Linked DNA regions of Oryzias latipes. The protein of the gene in region 1 purifies or fractionates together with the protein of each later gene. This does not show direct contact. Links are inferred from orthologs where the notes say so. Each region holds a gene or a part of one and is shown on either strand. Other genes may lie near its edges.

Evidence for each region. The genes of interacting proteins can lie anywhere in the genome.
Region 2: the proteins of mlf2 (region 1) and bag2 purify together in Homo sapiens (affinity purification with mass spectrometry; 4 studies listed by BioGRID and IntAct, with this or other methods). This does not show direct contact. The link is inferred for Oryzias latipes from reciprocal best matches to the Homo sapiens genes MLF2 and BAG2.

The regions. Positions count from the first base shown.
Region 1 is NC_019874.2:20,417,600-20,425,228, forward strand, and holds the start of mlf2 (myeloid leukemia factor 2), read left to right. Parts: upstream 1-3,267; 5' UTR 3,268-3,539; coding exon 3,540-3,583; intron 3,584-4,572; coding exon 4,573-4,681; intron 4,682-4,792; coding exon 4,793-4,828; intron 4,829-5,174; coding exon 5,175-5,228; intron 5,229-6,505; coding exon 6,506-6,634; intron 6,635-6,869; coding exon 6,870-7,029; intron 7,030-7,146; coding exon 7,147-7,358; 3' UTR 7,359-7,362; intron 7,363-7,629. Other genes in the region: cell division control protein 42 homolog, read right to left, coding at 35-144, 224-296, 415-519.
Region 2 is NC_019873.2:24,429,059-24,436,640, reverse strand, and holds bag2 (BAG family molecular chaperone regulator 2), read right to left. Parts: upstream 4,724-7,582; 5' UTR 4,570-4,723; coding exon 4,448-4,569; intron 4,306-4,447; coding exon 4,196-4,305; intron 3,015-4,195; coding exon 2,620-3,014; 3' UTR 2,026-2,619; downstream 1-2,025. Other genes in the region: E3 SUMO-protein ligase ZNF451, read right to left, coding at 5,944-5,984, 6,595-6,660, 6,777-6,851, 6,935-7,582. UniProt on the Homo sapiens protein: Co-chaperone for HSP70 and HSC70 chaperone proteins. Acts as a nucleotide-exchange factor (NEF) promoting the release of ADP from the HSP70 and HSC70 proteins thereby triggering client/substrate protein release.

The DNA.
Region 1 (7,629 bases):
CCTTGTAAGTTTCAGTGATCTTTTAAAAACTGACCTTCTCTTTGACATTTTCAAATGATGACGGGGAGACGACAGAGAAACATACAAGGAAGACGTCTGTTTGGGGGTAACTGAGAGGACGCAGCCTGTCATAATCCTCCTGACCTGAAAATCACAACCAGGAAGTTTAACATTTAGTTACAAAGCTCTATACTTGGGACAAAAGACCTTCAAATCCACAAACCTGCTGTGTCAAAGAGGCCAAGTGTGTATGGCTCTCCCCCAATCATCACTGTCACTGCATAATTGTCAAAAACCTTAGAGAATAAAATGCAATTCAGAAGGCAAATTTTCAAGAATTGTCCTGCATTTTCGCAATACCAAATAGAAAAAATGATTTTACACAACAAATCAGTTTTAATGAATTCCTCTTACTGTTGGCACATATTCTGAGGGGAACTTGTTGGTGGTGTAGGAGATCAGTAAGCATGTCTTTCCTACTGCACCGTCTCCTACCACTACGCATTTTATAGTCTGCATCTATTAAGAAAAACACAAACAAACAGGAGAACACGTCAGTGGAAACAATGCATTGCACAGACAGCCAGTCTGAAAGTGGGACGGAAAGTAACACAAAAATACCCGGGACTAATCTTAGCTTAAAAATGTCAAACTTGACTTAGCATAACAGCAAATGAAAACATATAAGAAAACTGGAAAACATTTGCAAGAAACCAAACATGAGTTATGAGGGACAGATGATAGTCATCACTTGCTGTGCATTCATTTCTGGCAATTATTTGGTGAAAATATATGATCAAAAACTGCAACTAACCCTAATCCACTTGACATCTTACATTTGCACAATTTGTTTGTAAAGCATAAATAATCATGAATAAACTTATATTTTTAATCATTTGCTAATCTTAATAAATCACAAGTCAAAAACTAACTGAAAGTTAAATAAATATCAGATATTATACTTTTTTTTAATGCATATTCAATGGACTTTTAATACATATTCATAGCCAGAATACTATTTAAGTACATGCATTTAGTGTTGATTTTTTTAACATAAAACACCATCACAACCAAATAAATATACTTTAAATAAATGGTTAGCTACCTAATACTCATGTTCTAATAAACATTTAACCGTTTAAATTTACTAATAACGTTATAATTACTTTTTATATGGGAATTTTTACTACATAAAAAGTGTTTACTGGATTTCCTTAAGTTAAATCTGTAAGATTTCACTACTGTGGAGACAAACAGAAAGAAAAAACTCCAGCGAGGACAGCAAAATACTTGTTGTTACATGCGCAGAGAAAATATTACTAATGTCAGCCAAAGGCTTCCGCATAGCAAACATACCGAAGACGCTTTAGAAAGAAGTTAAAAGAGGGCCCTTTACCCAAATGAAATTTAAAAGCGGATGCTGCCAACACTTCCGCTAAACTAAGCTGTACTTCATCGAATAATCCTTTTTTGAAGCCTGCTACATAATAGTACCGAAAGACAGAGAATGTAAAGGTTATTTTACCACGAAAAGTTCGAGTTGAAGGTGATTTCATAGAAATACAGAGTTAGTGACGTTATTATCGTAATTTTCATCTTAACTTAAAGTTAAACCTATAATAGAGTAAACTATACGGAACTCATATGAAACAAAACAAAAACGAAATAGTTAAGTATAGGCTGGTTCAAAACTCGAAATTATCACTATTTTAAGAACTTAACACAGGTAAAATTAACTAAATTGAAATTAACTAACTGCCCAACACAGAAAAGGAAACGTAACACCTTAGGCATTTCTTTAACAAAAACGAGTCTCGTCATTACGAAAACATTATCTTCATATGAAACTGCTAATTATGAGTTACAACAGTTAAATTAAGTAAAAAATACCTTGATAAGAATTGTTTTTACTTCATCAACCCACCGTTTTTCTTCCGACAGGTTAGGCGTTGGTTACATCCGGGTTTGAAGGGTAATATATTCCTGGCGCATGCGCACATCACATGAGCACATGAGGAAGAGAAACCACTGGAGCCAGCTGATATACTGCCTCCTACTGGAGTAACAACTAAAATCTCAATAAGGTTTTGTCTGAGCTGTTTAAGAGCTGTTTATTGTTATGTTATCTACTTGAGCATCGGTAAAAGATGTGGTGCAGTAAAAAATTCTGTATTTAAAAAAAAGCTCTTTCATTTAAAAGAAAATATTTTTCAATTAAGATTTGGACATTTACTTTTTCTTTTTTTGTTAAGTAGCTTTTTTAAGTATTAGAAATAGTTTTGTTGTAACATGTTATTTTTCTTTAAATGTGCTACTACGTGAAGTAATAGCAGCACAATGGCTGTGTTGGCAGATAATTGCATAAAAAGGTCATTATCTGGATCATCCAGGACAGAGATTTTTGCCAGGAAGTGATATTTATATTTAGCGTTTACTGCAAGCTCACTATATGCTCCAAATTGCCTAAACCAAACTTCAAAGTGCTTAGTGGATGAAGATAAGGTTTTGAAATATCATTTTACAGATCACACATCTGCTGCTTGCAATGCTTATAAAACAGCAGGCATAATGCATGAAGACGTAAATAAGATTTTGTTTAATCCAAAAATTACTTATATTTTAAACCATTAAAAATAAATGTTTGAATTGTAAATGGAATTGGTCCATGCATACTCAAAATATTGGCATTTCAGTTGAAACCCAATATTTTGAACATAATTCTAAAGGATGAAAAAGAACATAAAAGGGTGATTTTCACTTTTTTAAATTTATTTTCAAAATTTCTTTAAGGATGTGTAGATGTCAGATTTCATATTTTTTTTAAATGTTGTTTATTTTCGCAATGCCATAGATTTTTGATGATTAAACATGTCCTCAGTTTATTACTCGGTACTGTTGTTCTTTTTTGTTTTTTTATTTGACTTTTTTTGACAGTCAGAATTTTACATTTGGTCTAGTAAATATTTGAAAGATCACGTTAAACGTCTTTTTTGTTTAGTTAACGGTAAAACTTTTGAGATAAAGCTACTTTTACTTGCATTCAGTTTTTGAACAATTAATCATTTGTCCTTAAACAAATATCACCCGTCAATGCAACTCTTCTTGGAAACTTTAAAAAAAAATACACATCATATTTCAAATTCAGTTAAATCACTACATATTTTAACAATGTTACAAGTACAAGTATTTTTACATAGTATTTTATATTGTCATTGCAAAATACTTTATTTTGAAAAACAGAAAGACAGGAAGTTGAAAGTGAGGATTGACGCTTCCTTGACAGCAGCGTTGCTTCCCCTTTGTCAGCGGACTGGCTTCCGTTCTAATGTTTGCTCCAGGTTTCTGGAATGTACTGTGCAGAGACTCTCATCCATAAGTTCTTGTGATTTGCTGTAGTTTCAGCTGTCTGGTTTTTGCCAGAGATCTAGTGGAAGATCCTGTTTTCCGTTGTGACTTGAGCGTGAGTCGGTTTCTGTAAATTAACGAGTTTTTACCTTGGCCGCTGGCTTGGTTCAGCCAGCTGAGTTAAATCACCTAGCATGTTTCGCTTCTTAAATGACGGGGATGACGAGCTCTTCATGATGTGAGTACCGACTTTTATCACGCTGTGTCACCCTTTTTATTTGTCTGTTTTGGAAGTTGTGTCTTAAAATGCTCATTATGAATGTCCCCGTGCCTTGAAGTAGCGACTTTTCGCCGTTCTAGCCAGCTGTGCAGGGGGCCTGCAGAGGTCCACCATATTGGAAACACAATAACAAGAAAGAAAAAACTGTCACTTTTATCTCTTGAAAGAATAGTAACGTATTCATCTATCTGAAGCGACACAAATCTCTGCCGTTAAGCTTATTTCATTTAATATTGTTCACACTTTTCTCGAATTTTCCAGACATTTCAGTTTCCGCATATTTAGAACGGTCCCCTTCGTTCAATGGAAAATGCAGGCTAATGGAATTTGCCAACAAAAACCCTCGCGCGTGTTAGACTTCGCTAACATTTACAAATTAAAAGCTTTTAAGGGTTTCTGAAAAATAAACATAATTTATTAGCTTAGGTAATGTAATGTTTGGTTGACATAAAATGCAGGATGAAAAAGGTTAATAAATGTATTTGAATACTATAAAATAAATCGTATGAACTTCAAATTACTCTGAGATCCTTTAATTTATTTTGTAATAATATTTTCTGTGGAAATTATATGGAAAATAATCCAAATGATAGTTATAGCATTATCAAATTTATTATTATTATTATCTAGAGGAACTTTTTGGTTGGCATATAACAATCCTTCTTTGAAGGAGCTGTTGGACTGCTTAATAAAACGTGTAGGTGTTTTGTTTTTGGCTTTTTTTTTTTTTGTCATACTTCTCACACTACCCCCTTCACTCAAAAGTAGTCACAAAATTTTGCAGGTGTTGTTTTCATTTACCAACACAAATTTTAGCTTTATGCTTGTATTAAAAATAAAATAAAAAAAAGACTGGTGAATTGATTTGAGAACAATGACACAAGTGTTTCCCTTATTTAGACTTAAATGATATATTTTAGACTTATAATTCACCTTTTATTTTGCAGGGATCCCTTTGCAGCTCACAGGCAGCAGCTGAGTATGATGACCCCATTTGCCATGGACCCGTTTGCTCTGGTTCCCCAGATGCACCCACACCGTGTGGCACGCAGACAGGTGACAGACCGCCTTGCGGATAAATTTAGAATATATTTTTACGTCTACCTATTATATTCTTTTGATTAGTATGATCTGCTTAAACTGCTAGTTTTATTGTTTTTGTTTTAGGCTGGCCCTCTGGCTCCCTTTGGCATGATGGGAATGGTGAGTTTTGAACTTCAGTAAATCCATCAGTGGACAATTTTTTTTGTCTAAAAACAGATAAGGCAACTCTTGTCAAAACATTAGAGCCTTTTTCTTCTCTGCTATAGTTTAAAGTTGATTTCAAAATTTCTCTTTTGTTTATTTGTTTTTCTGGATATAATGGGGCCATTTGAAGACATTTTTCCCTTTGAGAAAAGATGTCATTGTTTTTAAATAGAGCAACATAAAACATCCCATTTCCACCTGGTATTTTCAGGTTCTGTTATATTCGTATTAATAAGAGGAAGAGGTAGGAGTGCTGGATTAAAGCAGATCTCAACATCAGCCAATGTCTTACTGTTTGCAGGGAGGAGGATTCATGGATATGTTTGGCATGATGGGAGAAATGATGGGAAACATGGTAAGTCGTTTTTGAACCACGTCCAATAAAATAAATAAAAAGAGTATAGTATATAAATAGTAGGGGCGTTCGGTAAGAATCTGGCGATATGATACATATCCAGATACACGCCCTACAATACGATACATATCGCAGTATTGTACCGGAACACATTTTCTTTCCTTTTTTTTTTTTAAGTGTGACTTCATTTAATTATCACAATGTTAAGCACTGCAATTGTATCTCATTTACAAGGTGCTTTTACCCAAGCAAATTCATAGTGCTTTTATTTTGGTAACTTAAAATATATTTGTTCTTAAAGGGAACAGTCAACATTGTCTGCTTTTTACAACAAATATTTTTCAGTGTAAGAAAAAAAAATAGAAAGACTGTGCCTTAACCCAACAGGGTTCTAAAAGTATGATTGAGGAAATAAACTGCTGTTTATTCAAAATATTTCTTAATGTAGCTTCTCCAGAACTTTTAAACGGTTCAGGAGCCTGAATGGTGCTTCAAAACTAAATGAGAAAAAAAACCAAACACCAATTTTTTCCAGAAACATTAAGTGTGATGAGGCAGCATGACAGGTTGAAGGAAAGTTGCTTTAATGTGGCTAAGATGCTTTATTTACATTACAGTCTGCACTGGAGCTGCAGTTCTGTTTTCTCACACGAAGTATGAGAAGTAAACATGTATTTCACCGCTTATCAGAGCGTGGTACACATCACTCTGATCCATCGGGTCGCTGAACTAAAATCTATTGCTGTGAGGTTCCGCAGAACCTCGGCCCGCTTTGCCGATAGCATTTTGGCTGGTGCTCCATGCATGAGCTGCTGTGCAGCTGCACTTCTTCACTCGTTCTTATCTGAGCTACAAAGCACCGCAATCCACAATATTGTATGATATTGGCAGCAACATGGCACAGATTTTCTGTTCAGTACCTATAGCAAGTAAAAACTATGGAGTGCATGTCTCGTAACAACAAAACTAGCTGCATCTTGCTGAGATCTTGTAGTTGTTTTGTGCGGTGTAGAGCTGCTCAAAGAGGCTCATCCTGCTGGCGGTGCTGCCAGCTAGTGGTCGGATGTTTAAGTAGAAAACAAAAGTCCAGACGCCAAAGATTGCTCATAAAAATTAAATATCGTCCTGACAGCATTTAAATCCATACAACTATTGTCAAATGAATATCGCAATGTATTGCCCAATCGATTTATTTTTTCTATTCTTTTTTTTCTCCTACACCCCTAATAAATAGGATTCAGTCTCACCTTGTATTTATTTATTTTGTTTTCTTCCAGGAAAGGATGTCTGGCTCACCAAACTGCCAGACATTTTCCTCTTCGACAGTGATTTCTTATTCGTCTTTAGACGCAGGAGCTCCTAAAGTTTATCAGCAAACCAGTGAAACCAGAACTGGCCCTGGAGGGGTAATGATGCGTTTACAGCTGTTGGAGTGTTAACATTTTAGATGAAATGAGGAGTTGGCCACAGATAGTGTTGTAAATAATAACATGATTGGCTTTTCTTCTCTATTTGCACATGAATATATTTATAGGTGTAACAGCAGTAAATATGTTGCGTATAATCTTACTATTAGAGGTTTATACTGAAGTATTGTTTATCTGTAAAAACATTAAACGTGTCCGTTGATCTGACCCTCAGATCCGTGAAACCATGCAGTCAGTGAGGGACAGTGAGAGCGGCCTCGAGCGCCTCGCCATCGGTCACCACATTGGGGAACGTGCACACATAGTAGAGCGTTCGCGAAATCGCCGCACTGGAGACCGCGAGGAACGGCAAGACTTTATTAACCTTGATGAGAGTAAGTTGATCTCCAAGTCTCACAGTCTCATCATGTTTTTGGATATAAAAAATTCGCATTTAAGATGCCCATGATGTCATCTAATCACCAAAAATATCTGTGCTTCAATCTTGCTAGGTGAGGCTGAAGCTTTTGATGTGGAATGGAGGAGGGGGACAGGACGATACGCCTCTCCAGGTGCACGTGCAATTGACTATGGTCAAGATCGGCGTGCAGGAGGACAGCAGCTGGCTCTTACTGCGCCTCCCAGTTCAACGTCCCCCCCAGGTCATCGACATGAGTCCCCCAGACACCGCCAGCCCCAAACCCGACCCCGCTATGACTGGTGAGATGGTAAGTTGAACGTAGCACTTTGAGTTGTCTCTATGGGAAGTGTTTTTATTGTAGACACACACACTAAAAATCCTTTTTAAGTTTTTACATTTTTTTAGATTAATGCATAAAGTATCTTTTTCTTGATTCAAGTGCGTTTTTGGTTTTTGCCATTTTAAATAACCACACAATTAAATGTAATTAAATTGTGACATTAGAATCAAAGTTTCTTCTTCATAATTAGTTTCCTTTTTCATAACAAATCTCAAATTCTCCACAGTAACAAGG
Region 2 (7,582 bases), on another chromosome or scaffold:
TAAGTTTGTGTCAGTGAAAAACCTTTTTCCTGGATTTCCTCTTGTAAATGTAAAATTTTATCAGCAGAACAACAAAAGCCCTTTTGCAAACTGCCTACATTTATGTACTAAATAAAAAGTAAGGCTCTTTTATCAACATTTCTTTCTAAGTACAACACATATTGAACTTTTTACATCTTATGTGTTAAGAAATCCAGTTATTTATTAAAAATACTGTGATGACTGCATTTGCACCGTCTTGATAGGAAGATTCATCTGCGTGGGAGTGACATTTTTACAGTTTTTCTTTGTATTATGGGGAGTTTTGAGGTGTTGTTTTCTTGGAGTCATATTAACACTAAAGCAAGCACAATTGTTATTTTTTTGACAAAATAATTCAGTCCATTTCTTTAATGCATCTAAATAAGCCCGTTTCATGTCCTGCATACATAATCACATTTGGCATAATTGCACATTTAGATAGATCACTAAAGACAATGTTTTTTTATATTTTTACAGTTTTTTATTTGATTTTCTGCTTTAGAGCAGAGCTATTCCTAAAGATGGACAAAAGCAGTGAAGACTCCAGCCCTAAAGCTGCAACTGTTTGGTTCTGGTTGTCTGAAAAGTAATGCATATACTGGCTGGATAACATAATGGACAACACTTACTATTGATTAAAATACTATTATGTGCTGCACTGTAACCCTTGTGCTATCCTATGACCCCACCCTTACTTTGATGAGTTCTCCCTACCATGATAAAGGTGGAGAGGATTTTATGTGATTCATGGACAACAGTGAAGATCACAAATCATTGAAGAAAAACGGTTCAGTGCACTGTCTAGTGGGGTCTAGATGACCCCACTCCCAATTTTAAAGTGCCTAGGATAGCACAAGGGTTAAAGACACTCCGTTCTCCCACTCTGAGTGCTGCATCCTAAATCATTCAAAGTATTCTTGCTTTATCATCTCGGCTGTGTGAACATCCGGAGCAGGATGTTCTTCCTCTGCTACAAAGTTCTCGGGTAATGACAGCATATTTTCCTGTTTTCTAAATATTCTGAGGTTTCTCACAAGTTTGGTTCGCTTTAGTTAAAAGGGTGTGGCATCTGTGTTTCCATTAGCAAATGTGACATTTGATCTGTTGGACCAAACAACACAGGAAGCTGGGGCTGCTGGACCCAGCTACTATTGGGTGATGGTAGGGTACACCCTGAACAGGTCACCAGTCTGTTCCAGGGTCACACAACCACACACACTCACATGCACACCAGGGGGCAATTTAGACAGGCCATTTAACCTTTGAGCATGTTGTTGGACCCACACATGCACCAGGAGTACATGCAAAGTCCACACAGAAAGGACCCAGGCAAGATTTAAACCACCCATTGTGACAGCACTAACCACTGTGCCACCACATAGCTCCTATTTCTCATAACAAGCTGGGTAGCTCAGTTGGTAAGGTAGAAGGCTGCCATGCAGGAGGGGAATAAACAATGATACATAAATATAAACAATGGCGAGCAATTACCATGACTCAGTGGGGGTCCTTGGGCAAGACCCTTGACGCTACTGCCTACCAGCATGAATGTGCATGAATGATCCCGGTGATGGTCAGAAAGCCCTGCATACTAGCAGCCACACCTCTACCATGAATGAAGAGTGAATGAATAATGGACACAACGGAAGCGCTTTGAGGGTCTGGAAAAGCGCACATAAATCCAATCCATTATTATTTATAATTCTGTTCTAAATAATATTAAATTAATCAAACTGATTTACTTTAACATATTTCAAAATTGCTACAGAACCTTCTTTTCTTTTTGAATGCTTTTGTCCCATCATCACAATTTTTTTTAAGTTTCATATTTTCCTTGTGCTACTACATACATGATGGTGAAACAACTTTTAATATTTTCTCCCAATTGTAAGCATTGACTTGTGCAATTTTATGAACTGTACATGTGCTTTTAGGTTCTTATCAAACCAAATGACAAAATAAAGGAGGATTCCCCATTTGTGAAAACAAGAAACTGCATATTCAGAGGCTTCTCACAGTTTTTATTGACTTTCTTTCTTTGTGTTTCATAAAAATGTAACAAAAAAAAAAACAGCAGAAGATGAAGGCGTACAGAGTTTGTGTCAAAAATCCTTTCAACTAAAACTGTAAGACAAATAAAAAGTCTTTCTACAACTGAGATAAATTCCACGAACTTCCTGTCAGGTGGTTTCATTTGACATGTTTGTAATTTTATTTTCAACGTTAACGATCACAGTATTGGTAAAATACTGGTTGTTGCATTGTCAATCACCTCATATGTCAGAGCACTGAATTGCTGCAAAATGTGCTCAAAATTATATATTGTCTTCAAAAGGTTGAACTTCAATCTGTGATGCATCTGTATTTGTTCTTTCTTGGGCTTATTGATGAACATACATTGTGAACTGTGTGCCCTTTAGCTATGTCGGTGTAGTAAAATTTAAAGTAAAAATTGACCTTTTTACAAAAAAAATGTGTACCAGTGTACTTTTCAGGGTTGGTTACAATGCATGGATCCCTAAGAGTCATGCTTGTGCAGCTCTCCTTTGTGAGGTAAAGTGGAATTCAAAAACACCCTTCATGCTTTGGTGATGATTATTAACTACTGCAGTTGGTTTTTGCACTCTCCAGTTTTTGATGATCCATAATTTTGATGTTCTTTTCAGCGTTTTCCACATTCCTCACCAGCGTCTCCAGCCTCTGTTTGATCTTCTTCTGGTCCTCCAAAGAGCAGCTGATCACCACAACCTGGAACTTCTGATCGATGGGGACAGGCGGTGCTTCGGTCACGCAGGCGGCGTGCAGCGCCATCAGCTGCTGCCGACCGCCTTCCATGTCGACCAGCAACTTTTTTACGATTTCGTCAATCATGGATGTGGCTTTCCGCAGGGCCTCCTCCTGCTGGGGGTTTCTAATGGTGCCAACGGAGATCTCCACCGTCAGAGTCCGGCCCATCAGACGGTTCGCAGTTAAGCTCAACTCTTCCCTTTCTCCTGCAGAAGAAAAGGAAATTAGAGCTTTAATTTGTCATAAAAAATATTATTATTAACCTGTTTTTGACTCATTTCATTTATTTTGATGTATTTTATGTTAATAAATCGTCTTTTGATCTATTTCCAAAGTGTTCCGAGTGGTTTTGTAATTATAGTTATACCATTTTTAGCCCAAATAAAAAAATCCTGTGTCATTTTCTAGGACATAATTTCTGCAGAGCGGCAGGAATTCATTAGAAATCTGCCTCTAAGTTGTAGGTGGGGCCGTAGGCGTGGAGTAAGCCCACCCTTGCTTCCGGACATCTATGTGTTTAAACGCTCTCCTGCAAATTTACAGCCCTTTATAACCCCAACGTAACATTACTGATGCAACTCAAATGGCCTGCAAGAATGGAGATATCCATCCGTCCAGCTTTGAGCCGGAAGCCAACTCGGATGAGGAAAACAAAAGACCTACATGGATCTATTTGTCCGCAAGTGGATGCATCAGAATGGAGCAGAGAAGAGCAGGACGTTTGTGGTCTGCTGTATTAGCTTCTACGTCAAACCTACAAGCTTTTTCAAATGGCATTTTTGCTTTTGCAATTTGAATAAAGAAATACACCGAAATGGAAATATGAGCTGAATTTTCTTTCTATATGTCCTGCATTTTGAGAAAAACACCACAACAACATGTTAAAAACACCAAAAACACAATTTTCCTGAGTGGGTCTTTAAGATTTGATATAGGGGCAGAAATATAACAAGAATTTCATTTTTTTTGTTCCTTTCTATTCATGAAAATGTGTGGACTTATGTTGAATATGTAAATATAATATGGTACCATGAAAAGAACAGAATTTTTCTTTCTACTTATACCATGAAAAAAAGTTTATATCTTGTAGTAAACTTGCTATGTTGGACTCAGAAGTATAGTGTGTTCCTTTTAGAGGGTTTAATAGAAAGACACAGAGGTGAAATGGGACCTCTATGGGTGAGACATGTGATGCATTTTGGGTGGAGCACATTGTTCTTTTCAGTTTCTTGACCATCACGCAAAGTTTTCCTTTTATCACCACAGGATCAAAGTAGCAAAAAACAGGAATTAAGATTACTGGAAAGTTAAGCCACTCTTCACTGGTATTAAGCAGCGGATGACTTGTGCTCTTATGTAAGTTGTGGGAGAGAATTAGCAGCCTCACCCGCACAGATGTTACGCATTTCTTGACTGTTCTGGATGGATTGAATCATTTCCAGGATGCCTTCTCTTTCCTGCTCCAGGGCGGATGCTGTTTCTCTTAAAGCCTCCACCCTGACAAAAACAAACATCCGTCAAAAAAAAACAGCTTTTCTTTTTCCTTCCAATCACGTTCAGTTGTTAAAGTTACGCCACAGTGTCAAACGAACGAGAGCACCTCCAAAGAAGACGCGCATGGCGAGGCCCGTTATTGTACCTGATTTCCAGCTGATCCAGAGTTTCCAGCAGTCTTCCGGAGCGATCAGCCATGGACAGTGTCCTGCTGAACTTGCTGCAGACCGCTTCGTTCATCTTCGCCTGGATTTTCGCCTGAGCCATAATAATTAGTGCTGCAGTGCCGAGTTTCTGTAGTCCGATCAGTCAATCCAAAGAGTGAGCGGCGCTTTAAGCTCTCCGCCTGACCAGTAATTCCTCAGGCTACAGGCAGCAGCGCCCCTGGGACAACATTTCCTAACATGGGCTTCAGCTTCCTCCTCTTCCTCCTCCTCACAGAAACTTCCCGAGGAACCCAGAGAGGAGGCTCCAACCCAGACAGGGGGCTCCAACAGGGGGCTCTGAGTGAGGAGCGCTTTAGCTTTAAAATGCTTTATTTGAATTTCCATAAAACAACAGATTTTATTTTACACAAGATTTTATATCTGGGAGATAAAAGGGAACAGGGGGAGAGAAAGCTTATTTTTTCTGGAACTTTTATATAATTAGGAGGCAAAAAAACAATTGTCATAAATTGATTAGAAAATAAAAATAAACTAAAAGACGAATACATCAAGTAAATATAAAATAATAGTATTGTCCAATAACTGTTTTCTGCATGATTTGAATAATATTTTTGCAGAGTTCATACAGGTTTGTTAAACATGACATTTGCAACTCTCATCAATTTGTACAAGTGGCACTTTTTCATCATTTTAGTTAAAAGAAAAAAGCAAAGACACAATGTAACAAAACCACCTTTAGGGGGCGCTGATGAGGTGACAGGTGCTTGTTACCATTATCTCTATTGCTTCAAGCCACAAAGATAGATTCCATCTATTTTACCAACCAACAGGTCTCCAAACTGTTTTTTTTTTCTGTTCTCCGAACAAAATAATCAAATGTAACATTCAATGACCAAACGTCATGCTCCGTTATTATATCTTTATTAAAGAAAAATATTTTCACAGAGAGTACTTTTTAGGAAAACCGTTCTGTCCCTGTTATTCACTCACACTTTTACACAAAAAACCTTTTTCTTTAAGTTGAACTCATGTAATGATGTTTCATACAAACTTTTCTGTAGAAAAAATACAATTTCTGCTCATTCATTTCTGACGTCTGAGCAGCCGGTAAAGAGAATCCTCACGTCTGTAGTGAAACCAGAGAGGTGGAGGAGCGGTTGGTCTGCGGTCACGAGGTCAGCCCAGGCATCTAGCTGTGTCACCACAATCCTGTGTGTGTGTGTGTGTGTGTGTGTGTGAACACGTGACACATAGCTTCAATGTTTAGAACGTCTGACTTTTTATAAACCCTCAGCTTCTAACTAGCTTTAAAACCCACTGTCTGCCCCAAGAACTGCTGACTTTGGCTGCTAAAGGAAGTAAATCAATTCAAATAATTCATGACTTTTATTTATAACTTCTGAAAACAATGACCTTGAGTAAAAAAGGTCAACGTGACAGGTGAACAACAGGAACTACTTCATTTAGAAAGCACTTAGAACTCCACAAGACTTCTCTGAAGAGCTTCCTCCAACTCTGCGGGAAAGAAAAACAAGAAAAAAAAAAAAGTTGAAAATGACACTCCATTATAAAACAACATAAAAACAGCAGAGGCCATTTTAAAGACCCACTCCGATCATCTTTGAAGCTATTTTCAAAGTGATCTTTTAATCCCGTTTATGCTGCTTTTAGTCAAAATACAAAAAAAGCCTGTGTTGTTTTTCTTAGGACATAGTTTCTGCAGAGCTGAATTGTGGGCGGGACCACTGGCACGGAGCAACTCCGCCCCCTTTCCCTTTCGGAGCGCTAGAAGCAGGGAGCTTGTGGGCCGCCCAGTGCAGTTTCAACAACACAAATATGACTTTTTATTTTTTTACAAATGCAAATTTGAGCTTAATTTTCTTAATATGCGTTTCCATCATTAGAAGACATGTTGGAAAAAAAACATTTTCATTGTAGTAGGTCTTAACATTCAAATCTTTTTGACATGTTGGCTCATTTTACAAAAACAATGATCTATAAAAAATACCAATCTCTAAACTTTTTACATTTTAAAATATACAGTTTGTACTAAACTAATAATTACTGCTTTTTTATTATAGCTTTTGAAAAAAAGGTTGTTTTTTTTTTTGTTGTGAAAACAGACCTGCTGACTCTCTGGCTTCTTCTGCACTTACAGGCAGAGCGTGTTTCATCTCATCATCAGAGGTCTCTGCAACAGACAACAAAACTGATTTTTTAATCGGATCAAACATATGGTTTTTCAAACTGATAGAATTACTTCAACTCCGTCATGTTTATTCATGACACGTTACTGTAAATGTTTACCCATGGCAGTTTCATCTCTTTCGTTGTTGATCTGATCGTCTTTCAGAAACTTCCCCAGAGTTTCATCCTGGATCTCTGTGAATCATGAAAAACTGGAATCAAAAGTGCTGCAGTCTCCAAACACAAACGCTAAAGTCAGCCTCCTTTGGTGAACTTACGGCGTTTGTGTGCTTTGACCTCCACACGAGTGGGCTCTGCCTCTGAGCTCTTCCTGGAGCTCCTGCAGGGCTCTAGCGTGCAGTGACAGTGATGATAGTGTTTATGGAAACCTGGAACACCCATATAACTCTGGTGACACATGTTGCATTGTACTTCAAATGTCTTGTCCAGGTTCAGGCTGGGGTGCTTTGTGTGCACGTGAGTCTTGATCTGCGCGTACGTTGGCACGGACACGCTGCAGGGAGGACACACGTACTGGCATTTCCCCTCTGCAGCCAACTCTTTCATGCATCTGGTATAAACCCCCGTCACTGTTTCCTTGTTGCCTTCTGAAGACATGCAGGGACAGTCCAGAGGAAGCATCGCAGCAGCCGGTTGGAGAACGTCGGCGTCGTCCATGCAGCAGTAATCCCTGCTGTGAAGGCTCCGGTAATGCTCCAGGAGCTCGGCCTCAGAATCCATCTGCATGCTGTCGCAGAGGCCGCAAAAGTACCAACTCTTTATGTCCCCGCCGTGCTCGTTCGTGCAGTGTCTTCTCACGGTGGACTCCTTGAAGAACTTTTGGGGACAGTGTCCACAGATAAACCTCTGAAAGCTGTGGCTGCTGATGTCACTGCAGTGTTTGCGGATGGCAACTTCCGAGTCGA